Linked DNA regions of Arabidopsis thaliana. The protein of the gene in region 1 interacts with the protein of each later gene in a pairwise test. Each region holds a gene or a part of one and is shown on either strand. Other genes may lie near its edges.

The links.
Region 2: the proteins of EIF3C (region 1) and TOR interact in binary tests that used the Arabidopsis thaliana proteins (3 or more experiments, as listed by UniProt).

The regions. Positions count from the first base shown.
Region 1 is NC_003074.8:20,832,883-20,839,434, forward strand, and holds EIF3C (eukaryotic translation initiation factor 3C), read right to left. Parts: upstream 4,394-6,552; 5' UTR 4,183-4,393; intron 3,993-4,182; exon of another isoform or gene 3,970-3,992; 5' UTR 3,939-3,969; coding exon 3,915-3,938; intron 3,827-3,914; coding exon 2,072-3,826; intron 1,832-2,071; coding exon 908-1,831; 3' UTR 528-907; downstream 1-527. Other genes in the region: AT3G56160 (Sodium Bile acid symporter family), read right to left, coding at 4,851-4,928, 5,008-5,109, 5,185-5,305, 5,427-5,512, 5,900-5,967, 6,152-6,173, 6,493-6,552. UniProt on the Arabidopsis thaliana protein: Component of the eukaryotic translation initiation factor 3 (eIF-3) complex, which is involved in protein synthesis of a specialized repertoire of mRNAs and, together with other initiation factors, stimulates binding of mRNA and methionyl-tRNAi to the 40S ribosome.
Region 2 is NC_003070.9:18,536,799-18,542,085, forward strand, and holds the start of TOR (target of rapamycin), read right to left. Parts: upstream 3,198-5,287; 5' UTR 2,822-3,197; coding exon 2,657-2,821; intron 2,434-2,656; coding exon 2,095-2,433; intron 2,017-2,094; coding exon 1,942-2,016; intron 1,765-1,941; coding exon 1,592-1,764; intron 1,224-1,591; coding exon 1,125-1,223; intron 809-1,124; coding exon 649-808; intron 581-648; coding exon 437-580; intron 300-436; coding exon 130-299; intron 51-129; coding exon 1-50. UniProt on the Arabidopsis thaliana protein: Essential cell growth regulator that controls development from early embryo to seed production. Controls plant growth in environmental stress conditions. Acts through the phosphorylation of downstream effectors that are recruited by the binding partner RAPTOR.

The DNA.
Region 1 (6,552 bases):
TTTCTAGTTGACAAATACTTTTGCACGGGAGAAGGAGATGGTATCTCAGCTGGCAATAAGTTGTGGTTCAGAAATTCTATTTGGTATGTAAGCAAAGAAAAAGGACATTTAAATCATCAACATTAATTGTGCAGATTCAACATAGAGTAGAGAGAGAGTGACAATAACTAACAATATGAGTGATGTGAAGATTGCTGAGAGAATCTTTATCCGGCTCTTATGAGTCCTCCAGTCTTGATCAGCTGGCCAAAATGTTTGACGTCTCTGAGCCGCAAGTCCACAGCATTATTATCCTTTTAAGTGCAGCAGAAGAGCCTTTCACTCCACCGGATACTTCTTCAGCATCTTTATCCGGCTTTGGCAAATGCAACCATGTCACTTGTACTAGTTACTACTTAGTACTTACTACGACAAGCTTGTGTTTCTTTTTTGTATCTGTGTTTGCCATACAACATGAGTTATAATAAGATAAGAGTTCCAAAAAAAAAAAAGAATTTTCTCAACAATATTCATTGTCGCTAGCTCCACGAAAGTAGCCGATTAAATCACAGATGTTCTTGATAAGAAATTAATCAAACACTTCATCGAGAGGAAGTTACTAAGCAAACAAAGATGAAAGAGTAAAAGACATCAACAAAAACAGACCTGCAAGCATACGAGAAAAAACCTAAGCCTTCTTCTTTTCAACAAGAATGACGCATAAAAAAAAACTTATTAAACTTTCCAGTAAAGCATTCTTAAAAGTCTTTTCCAACAACTGCCAATATCACAAAGAAAATAAACAATCACAATGCGAGAAAATGTGATGAACATCTCTTAGAAAGAACCATTTGATAACCAAAAGGAATCCAAAACATAACAAAAGGTTGAGACTAAGGTCAACACTGCAGATTTCTCCTCATCCTCTTTAAGTACGAACACCTCGGTTAAGACTCACCATACGGCTTGAGCCATCCATCTGCATACCTCTGTTTCCTGAACCAACTCTTCCTGCATACCCTCCTCCTCGGTTCTGCCCTGACCACTGACCATTTTGTCCAGATGATCTTCCTCCACCATAACCTGATCTGTTGCCTTGTCTTCCTTGTCCGTAATTCGCCTTGTCTTGCCAATATCCACCACCACCTGATGCTGCTCCTGCATAGTCCTGATTGTTGTCCCTTCTCCTTGAACTCAGATCCAGACCACCTCCACCGGTTCTAGATTCCATTGCCCTCTCATTGCTTTCTGCCAAAATCGAGAGTTTCTCCGTTAACTGGAAAGCCAATGATTGTAATCTGCTGTGTTGCACTTCATGGAAGACGATGCATCGTGTTGGCTGATCCCAGCTTGCATGCAGTTCCTCATTAATCATCATCTTACTCACAATGCTGTGGACCTGCGGCTCAGAGACGTCAAACATTTTGGCCAGCTGATCAAGACTCAAGGACTCATAAGAGCTTGAGTATGTGAATAGGTAAGTCCTTAGAGCCTCTTCTTTGATCCTATCCTTCACCATGTCAAGGATGCTGTCACGGTTCTTGAGCAGCCTCCAGACCTCAAGAGAGTTCAAAACTTCAAACGCCTTCTGGAAATCTCCTTTGGTCAGGGCTCTGGTGGCTGCCATGACATGGTCACGTACATTCTCAGGCGGTGCAGTGAATGCTTGCCTTTCACTGATCTCGAGCAGGCGGCGGAAATTCTTGCTAATCACTCTGCGTTTGGCATCGTGCGAGTTTGCAGCCATGTTTGGGACTTCAAGAAGCATGGCACAGATGAGATGAACTGCCTCCAGAAGCTCAAGGTTTAAGTGCATGTGGTACGGCATTTGTCTTCTCCTTTCCATCCTTTCCTGGTAAATCAAGAAATAAACCAAGAAAGTTTTATATCACATATAAATAAACTGAACGAAAAACATAACCATAAGCATCCATGTTGAAATAGAGAAAATGGATTGTGTGAAATGAAACAAAATGAAGAACCCAAAAATGCAACAGTGTTTGTAATCATGTCTCAATCAGAACTATCTGGTCAAACAATTTTTTTTCAATCCTATCTGTATTAAATCTAAAAACAGAAGATAACTAGTTACCTGCTCCGGGGTTTTCTCATGGTATCGGCTTTGCGAGACACCTTGGGCAAGCAACTCTCTCACTCTTTGACCAGAGTACAGCTCGGAAAGGCAGCTATGGGACTCAGTGATCATTCCAGCCCGGAAGGCGCAAAGACCAAGCTGCGCCATGGTCCTGTTAAAGAGAATCTGTGTTGAGATGTCCATGTGCTGGATGTTGTCTTGCAGATGACTCATCAGCAACAGGTCTCTAGCAGTCACAAAGTTGTCCATTAAAGCATGGTGATTGATATCACATAGCATCGCACGCGCTTTGGTCCGCTCATCTCCATTTCTGTAGATAAGGGACACAAGAATATCCATCATAGCTCGGCTGCTCTCTGGGAAGGTAGGCTTACGGGGAACAACCTCCGGAACAACAATAAATGAAGTAGGAGGTCCACTTTCCTCTTTGGCCTCCTCAGTTTCTTCTTCTTCTTCCACCAACTCAGCCAATTTCCTCATTGCATCATAAACTTCCTGGGGCTTGTAGTATATTGCCTCAACACGTCTTAAGGCTACCTTTGCAGCAGCTTTAAAATCACCCATCCGCTCAAAGTAGTCCTGGATGTTCTGAGCAAGGGCCAAGAACATGGGCTCATCCCTTAGCCTCTCAACATACTCACGGGTGTGAGGATCAATGCATTGCAAACTCTTGAAAAACTCAGTGTCAACCCTCTCCAAGAATGCAACCAAATTTCCCCAGACCCGAATTTTTCCATCATAATCTGTTGGCTTTGAAGTTTCGTTCTCATCAGGCTCAACTGTGTCATCCACAACAATGTTACTGTACTTGACGAGAATGTCCAGTATGGTGAGCATGTTAAGCACGCATTTCTTCCAGACATTGATAGGCATGTGCCCGCTGAGACCTGGATTCACATCAAACTGAGCCGAAATAACGCTAAACAAGATTTCAAGCTTCTGTGCAGGAGTCTTGGCAATCTTTGTCAAGTGCGTAAGCTGATCAACTAGCTCAAATCGAGCAGTGCCCTTTTTTCCACGAGCAGCCACAATTTCCTTGAACTTCTTGTTGACCCAGTCCCAAGTGATCTCTTTAGGATCTTTATTCATTAGCTTCTCCAAAAGCTTATCTTTTTTGCTCAGCATCTTCTCCCAAGTGAGATTATCAGTAGGTTCATCCACATCGGACCCAGGATCTACGGTAGGTCCGTCGATGGAAGAATCATCATCATCTTCAACCTCATCATCATCATCGTCATCATCATCATCATCTTCAGGTTGTTTCTCTTCCTCAACTTCTGGAGCCTCACGATACTTGTTGATATCGTCTTCGTACAACTTATTGTTCTTCTTCAATTTCTGTTTCATTGAGTTCAAAGCCTTGGAGTTACTAGTACTCATCTTCTTCTTGGCTTCCTTATTGGCAAGAGCTTCATTCAAGAAATCCTCCAACATAACAAGCGTCTTGATATACAAGGTAGGAGGCTTCACAGCCTCAGTAATCCTCATAACCTTCTCAAGCTGTTTGTTAACCTTATCAAAGTTTTCTTGAAGGCTGACCCAATCATTGATCTTCATAGCATTCTTCATCTGATCAACAGTGTAGGTCATCTCCTCAAAACGTTTATCCTTAGCAGGCTTAACCACACGTTTCGTATCAGTATCATCATCATCCTCACTACCACTTTGAAGGTAACGGTTATTGACGTCATCATTCTGAACCTCATTAACCTCTACCTCATAATCACTTTCATCTTCACTTTCACTTCCAACCTATCAACATAACAAGTAAAAATCATTCAGAAACTGAAGCAAGTAAAGGTAAAGAGAGTTTATAAACAAGAGGTCTGTTGAAGGAAACCTGAGTGAAAAAACGAGACGTCATCTTTTTAGCTGGAAGCGTAAGCAACAAGAACCTGATACACCAAAAGTAACAAATCTGAATAGTGAATCAGAGGAACGAAATTATAAGTAAAACAAACCAATCCATTCGAAGAACATAATCTGAACGAAACAATCGTGTCACAGATACAGACTCGTATCAACAAAGAATTAGAATCGATTCGAATCAATCTACACCAAACTAGAATCGAAAATTTGTTACGCTAGATGATGAGGAACAAAATTACCTGAATTCAGAAGATGGAGATGGAGATGGAGATTTGCGAAGGAGATGCTTGAGGAGGATTACGAATCTAAACAAAAATGGTGTGTAGCCGTCCAAGCATTTTGGTCGAGATGAAAAAATATATAGAATTAGGGTTTCGTGATTTACTCACTAAACCGGATTCGATTTGATTCTATTTCCATACCGAAACTGAAAACCGAGGACAATTAAAACGCTCTCGATCGGTTTTTATTTTATTTACAAACCGAATTGGTCGAACCAGGACTAAATGAAATTGTAGTGATGGTTAGTTCAATTAAATTGAGAAAAGAACCGGTTCTTAGTCCTCTTTCCTAGCTGCTTATCAGACAGATTACATATGAATTGCTTTGTACGCTGGTAACGTCAAATGACTAAATGTTTTCAAATATAGATACAAGTTTTTTTTTTACATAGTTTCATAAATCATACAAATTGGATCAGCAAACACCGACCGGAATCTCTAGAGCATATACATACAGAAAGAGAGAGAGAGAGAGAGATGGTCAATGATCAACTAAGCTTTGGTGATTGGAAAGATATCAAAATCCCCAGTCTTGCTGCTATGTATATAACTGACATTCAGTGTGTTTAGGATGTAACCTTCTCCACAGCATTGGTTTCATTGCTTTCTATCTCTCTCTCTCTCTCTCAAGCTGTCTTTACTTTAGTCGAAGTATCTTTTCCTCTCCGGAGCCATAAGTTGACAAGAACTGAATCAATCATGATCTGTAACATTCCAGATTTACGTCAATAATTTATAAAATTATGCACACAAGTACATGATGATTATAATACAATTTGTAACCTGGTTCAGGTGTGCAGCTACACAAGGAAGAACCAATAGCCCTGTCTCACCAAATGCACCTCCTAATTGCTCTACTACCGCCACCATTACCGGTAATGTTTTCTATGCCACCACAAGAAAAGAACTCCCAAATTTAAGAGATCAAAATCGGTTCTAAAAGGCAAACTCTATTATTACCTGGCTTGAAACGAGCAAAACTGCAGTGCTGTTTTCCTTGGAGCTCTTGCTACCACCTGTAAGACCGGAGAGGATGCGGATTGAAACAGCATTGAATGCTAGTAGAGAAAGATGCAGCAATCTGTAAGAAGACGTAAGAATCTTCTGTCAAACGTAATCCGCATTTCTAACACACAAGCCAAATATTTCCATGAGCTTCTTCACTTGGTATCTTTTCTATATGTTAAAAGAAGAATGCGTACATTCCAATGCCAACTGCTGCAAGGAAAACCTTAGGTTGAACGGATAGTAGCAGTGATCTTGACCTGCTCACTTGGATCCATGGCACCTAGAATATTAATCATGGAATAAACACTATTAAGTTCCCAAAATAACCAGGTAAATGCAATAACAAAGTCAGACCAGTTGAAGTAGCCAGGGAAGCAGAGGTTAAACTATAAAAAGGAAAAAAGTATTAAGTCCTTCTATCTCCAAAGTCATAACCGTGACTGCAAATATGGTTTTTGCAATTTAGTAAAAGCTTTGGATTGGCACATCAATGCCACGGAATGTTGAAATCCCAAGCTATCATACAAGAAAAGAGAAAGTTTTAAGTACAGGCATCTAAAATGCCAAGTTTAAGATTCCTGCAACAAAGCAAAACTCCAAGGATATGACTTCAGAAAGTTATTCAAGGGGTGTAGAAATTACGGGAGACTAACATTTCATATCTTACCAAACTGAGGCAGATTGCGTTGATTTTCGAAAAGAGTTTACGGTTATTGTCAACAAAGTTTGCGAAACCTGTATCACACATTTCAACAAGAGTTTCAACAAGGTCAGAAAGTAGGCAGCGATAAGCATATATATTTATTATAAACAGAACCATTTTGATCCATTGTCACGATAAAGTGACTGCTAACTATTTAAAATGGTATGTATTCAATTACTTTCACCAGAGAAGTAAAATATAACAAATGGCGCTCACCTTTGAATGATTCTCGAATAACCTATAACAGAAGAAACCAAGTATGTCAAAGCTCGATTTTAAAAACGTGTGCAAAATGGCAAGTGATAGAACTTCATGCTGAAATGACTGTTTGTGAAAGGTTCATATAAACATCAGGGAAAGTAACAAATAATAGAGAGTAAGCTTTCTTCATTTTCAAATGAGCCACGCAACAACCCTATTATAATTTCCAATAAAGTATTCACATATCTTTTGGCAACAACCACCTCTGCAAATTTAGCTTTCACAATTGTACCGTATATCAGAATTTATATTGATTCATCATTGCAAGAACAGGACAAACAGAAAGATTGTCTCACCTTGCCAATGATTAAAGGAATTAACAGAGTAACTATAAGACTTCTGAATAGTTGGTCAGT
Region 2 (5,287 bases), on another chromosome or scaffold:
AAATGCAATCTAGAAGCCGATCTTGTACTGTTGGCAGCAAAGAAGGAATGCTGAGATACAAAGAATTGTCAGCATTAAACGTATACACATCAATGTATGTAATAACAAACTTCTTTCGTTCAACTTTACCTGATGGTTATCTGGTCAAGAGCGTCAACAAGTGTGGAAGAGAGACTAGATGAAAACATAACATCTAAAAGATCTCGAACATGAGTTTCCACTGTGGATCCCATTGCCTTTGCGATGTTACCAACACAAGCCACAGCTTCAAGCAAAGGTCTGCCTTTACGTGGAGCAATCTACAGGGACAACATAGTCGAACAAAGCCACTTGTCTAGTTCAGTTTTCAAAACTAAAACCCAATATAATACTTTGACACAAAAGTAGTAAAACGTAATTACAAAATAAATAAATAAATAAATAAAATTTGACCCACCGCATCCCGCAGATGAGACATAATTGTCGGCAAATAATGGATAAGCTCACCATCCAAAGCACCAGCCATTTCCCCAAGGGCGATGAACCCACTGGCTCTTTCAGCCGGTATTCTTAACACAGTAAGAATATGATTCATGCATATCTGCAAGAAAGTAATTCGTGTCACGTTTCCAGAAATTTTTTGGTTTTAAGAATCTCTCAGTCACTTACCGTTAAATAGTTTGTCACAAACCGGTCACGGAGAAAGTGAGCAATGCGAGGCAGTAACGAGGTGATGCTAAGGCGAACAAGGCGATCACGATGTTCAAGGTATCTGAGGACAATTTCGGCAACTTCTCTATACCTAGACATCATGAACTCACCTGTATTCCTGCAAACGAACTCTAGCATTAAGCTGTAAACTCTAACACCCAATATGCCATGAAATCAATCTGCTTATAACAGAAAACAACGTAATTTTCGTCGTCAAGAGTCTTTTGTTCAGGTATACACTGAGAGTGGAGGAATATACATGAATTGCCTACTTTTTTAATGATGTAAACTACAATACGAAGACAAACTAACAAAACAACCCGAGCATCATGGGGACAAACAAGTTGTTCTACGGAAATATTCCAGAATCAAACTTGAGTGTCTGACTAAAAGAAAGGGATGCTTTCAAAATAGATAACCACTTCTGCATTTACCTCAACAGCTCCCCCACGGCAAGTAAAGAACCATGAATACTGTGAACCGGAGCATTTCTGCCCAACCCATCCTGTGTAGCTTCAAACATTCGATAGTACCTGTAAAAGCCAAATTGAGAGAAGATCAGTTAATAAAGATGGAAACCCCTATTGATAATTTGAAACATTGCATTGGCAATGATATATATAAATGCAGTAGAAAGTCTGCAAAACGTATCACCATGGGAAGAATATATATTCGAATATCATCCATTTTGGGGGGGGGGGGGGGACCACAGCATAAAAAGCTAATATAAGTTGCATTTACACAATAAAATATACAAAGTAGTACTTAAATGAGGGTGATTGCAAATGAAAGTATTGCAACAACACAAAGAAAAGCCTTGCATCAAAAATATCATACCAAATACATAACCTAAGGAAAACATTTCAGACATTATCATTTTCAAGGATAAGAGAATACTTACCACTGCACTCGCCATCGAGTCTCCCTTTTCTCAATAACACGAAGGCATGCACGCAAAGCTTCAACAGCTCGTTCTCGCACTTGCAACTGGGGGTCCCTAAGTGCAACCCAGATAGCATCCACAAATTCAGGGACATGAACGTTAAAGACAGTAGAAGCATTTTCGGCCATCTCCTGCAATGTTGCAAGAAAACATCCATATCCGTATTAACTTAGGATTGGAAAGTTATCATCACTATCATTTTTCAAACATCTATAATCCAATTTATTAGTTCAGAAGTTTCTTTCTGAGTAACTAAAAGAAAAAATGATCTGCTTATCTAAAGGATCGGGCAGCTGAAATCAGGATACCTTTAATATTAAAACGGCGGCGAAACGACGATATTCCACCCTGTCTACGCGAAGCCAATCAAAAGCTGTTTTCATCTGTGAAAACGAGATCAAGAATTGAGCAACTATGAGCCGAGACAGTGATAGGAAGGGGAGGGAAACAAACAATCTTACCTGAAACTCCACTTCATCAGAAGTCATTGCTCCACCTGCCCGAGCAAGGTGCCCCAAAACTCTACTAGCAAGCACCAAGATTTCAGGATCACGCTTCAACTCGAACACAGTCCTCATGTAACCCGCAAATCTAGAAACCTTAGTAGCATTCTCACCAAATCCAATCTCCGTCAACTCATCAATGGCTCTGAGTGCACCCATGTTTTCCGCCACATCAGTGCTCTCAATTAAATTAGCAATCCTGTCATATAATTGCTCCATGAACCTAGAGGAAGCTTCACCACTAAGATCACGAACTGCTTCCTCTACGTGTTTCCTAAACGCTAAAGGAGCTCCCTCCTAATACAACAACCAAAAATCATAAACAAAGTCGCATACTTGATGGAAACCAACAACAATAGATCAAAACCCACAAATTGCCAGACCTATAAGAACTAAAACTTCGAATTTTCCATTAACCAGAACAGAGAGATTCCGTCAGATAAGCAATAAAAGCAAAAGGGTTATATGGGTTTCTACTAAAGCATAAAAAGGGAGAATACTTTACAATGTTCTTCATTACCTTAGGATTACCACGGCTGCAAAGGTCAGCGATGACACGATTCAAAGTGTCAAAGCTTCCGCCACCAGAAGCGGTGGCTGAGGGACCACAAAAGCGGTGCGATTGCGAAGGGGAAGCCATGGATGCAGGCCGTCCAGCCACAAAAGATTGCGACGAGGTAGACATCGCTGCAGGGCCAGTCCAGCCACAAAAATCTTCCAAAAACCCTAAATCTGACCCCTTTTTGGTTCAACAACACTTGGGCAGAGAGAGAGTATGTACAGAGGAAGATAGAAGAATCTTCAACACATGATGCGTCGAGAACCGAAGATCGCAGAAGAAATCAAGATTTTTTCTCTTATTTTTTTACAAATTCAATTCGCTGAGTGTCTTTTTAGCTTTCTTAGGTTTTGCTTTGTTCTTTCAGAGACCAATTATCTTTGGTAAATAAATTGGAAAACCCGAAAGGTTTTTACTAGGAAAATATGACTTTTTCCTTGGAAAATTGTAAAACTTATGTTTGTCTATCAAAAACTTATAAATACAATATTTTCATTTTTTTTTGTCACTGATTAATTACTTAAAACCCTGAAAGGGTCTTTGTTTGGGCTATGTAATGTTTAGAATGTTTAATATACACTTGTCAAAGAAAAAAAATTACTTGTGAAAAAAAAAATAGTCAAAAACTCATATTTGTTCACTGGACAATAGAATAACTTTTTTTGTCAAGGAATAACTTTGTAGTTTCTTGAATAAGTTTTCTTTTATTGTCATTTCACTTTATTATTATTATTTCCAATTATGCTTTTAAGCAGATAAGGAGTTTTTAAAATGATCATTAAATTGTAGGAAAATAATAAACTATAGTTTTGTTGTAATTAGTAGTCATTACGAACAAAAATAATGGGGAAAATGAAAAAATTCAATTGAATGCATATGGTTAAGTTTGTCAACAAATTAAATAAATAAGAGGAATAATATCTATACAAAAAAATATCGAATATTAGTCAAATTTTGAATAAAAAATGTCAAATAATAGTAGAATTGTAAAATAGTTGTATGGTAATCGATATATCATATATTGAAAAATTGATGAAATGTGAATCATATCATTCAGTTAATTTGAATTGTTTTTCTTTTTTTTGGTATGGAGTGGATTTGAATTGTTAGATGTGATGAAACTTTGTTTTTCTATTCATAAAAATTCTAAATCATAGAAATCATTATTTATTCTCCAATGGTAAATTTTTGTTTTGCTTGTATGTTAAGTAGTATTCATATTCATATGTATAGGAAAAACTAAAGAAATGGCTCCTCCAAAATATAGTTCGTGTTTCTCCGTTGTTACAACGAAAATAATCACAATGATTGTGTATGACAAAATAAGCATTACATTCGAAAATTAAACGAAGCACATCCAACATAAAATTTCAAAAGAGTTGTGGCTTGTGGGAGGCTATAGCATCGCTTGGTTTCATCGTACACATCAAGGATGGTGAATAGACAGGGTCCAAGTGTTAACGTTGCGCAATCCCATAACGTGACAAGAATGTCGGTGAAAATATTGGTGTTCTTTTCTCTCCAAATTAATAAACTACAACTAAGAGTACTATTTAAAAAAGAGTTAAAATGACACAAAATAACTCAATTTTTTATATCATTAACGCATTATACGTATAGAATTTAAATAATAACATATACATTTCCATATAGGATAAATAACCTCATCAAAAAAAAAGAAGAATTTTATTATTAGTTTAGACTTTTTTGTCAATATTAATTTATTAGCTTCTTAAGTTTTATATTATTAGCAAAGGATAATGATGCCAACTATATACATGCGTGCTCCAACTTTTGGGACCAATTCATCTAACCTAAGTGATAAACAGATAGATAAATTATCCACTTCTAACTATTTTCCATCAGCTTATTTCAAAATTTAAAAGCTAAATCATTTCAAATCAAAAAGGTCTTTGGCTTTTTTTTATCCACTGTTCCATTATTTCTCTCTTCCATTAAAAAAACTGCATTTTACAAGATCTTTCAGTTTTTAGAAGTAATCAAGTATCAGTGCCAAAAAAAGCTACATTAAAATCTTACAAATTACAGTATACGACGTATTCCTATTTTCAATCGTTATCTAAGTAGAAATATATTTAATAAAACGTGTGAAATGTCAATAAAACAACAACAAAATGTACATACATTAAAAAGAATTCAAGACCAGCAAAAATATATATACACGTTACTATTTAATCTCTTGATATGTTTCCTGTATAAAAGAAAAAAATCTACCATATAAACCTCAATAACGATTCCAGAAATTATATCAAAATTGTAAAAGACAAAAACATTTAACTAAAAAAATCATATAAAGGAGTAAAGAAATAAATCTATTTAGAACACTAGAAATTTCAAGGTTAAGAATCAATACATACTTAAACTAAAAAAAAACTTTTATTTACCAAAAAATAAAAAAATAAAATAAAAGAAAGAATAATATTATTTCAATTTACACATCTGGAAATTGACAGGCGATAGTTTGGTTTTTTGGAGTTTTGACCCCACAAAATCTTTCACCTAATTTCCATTTGTTTTTCTCAACAAAAAAATCACAGCTATATTCCAGCCTGTTTAATTCTCATCAATCTT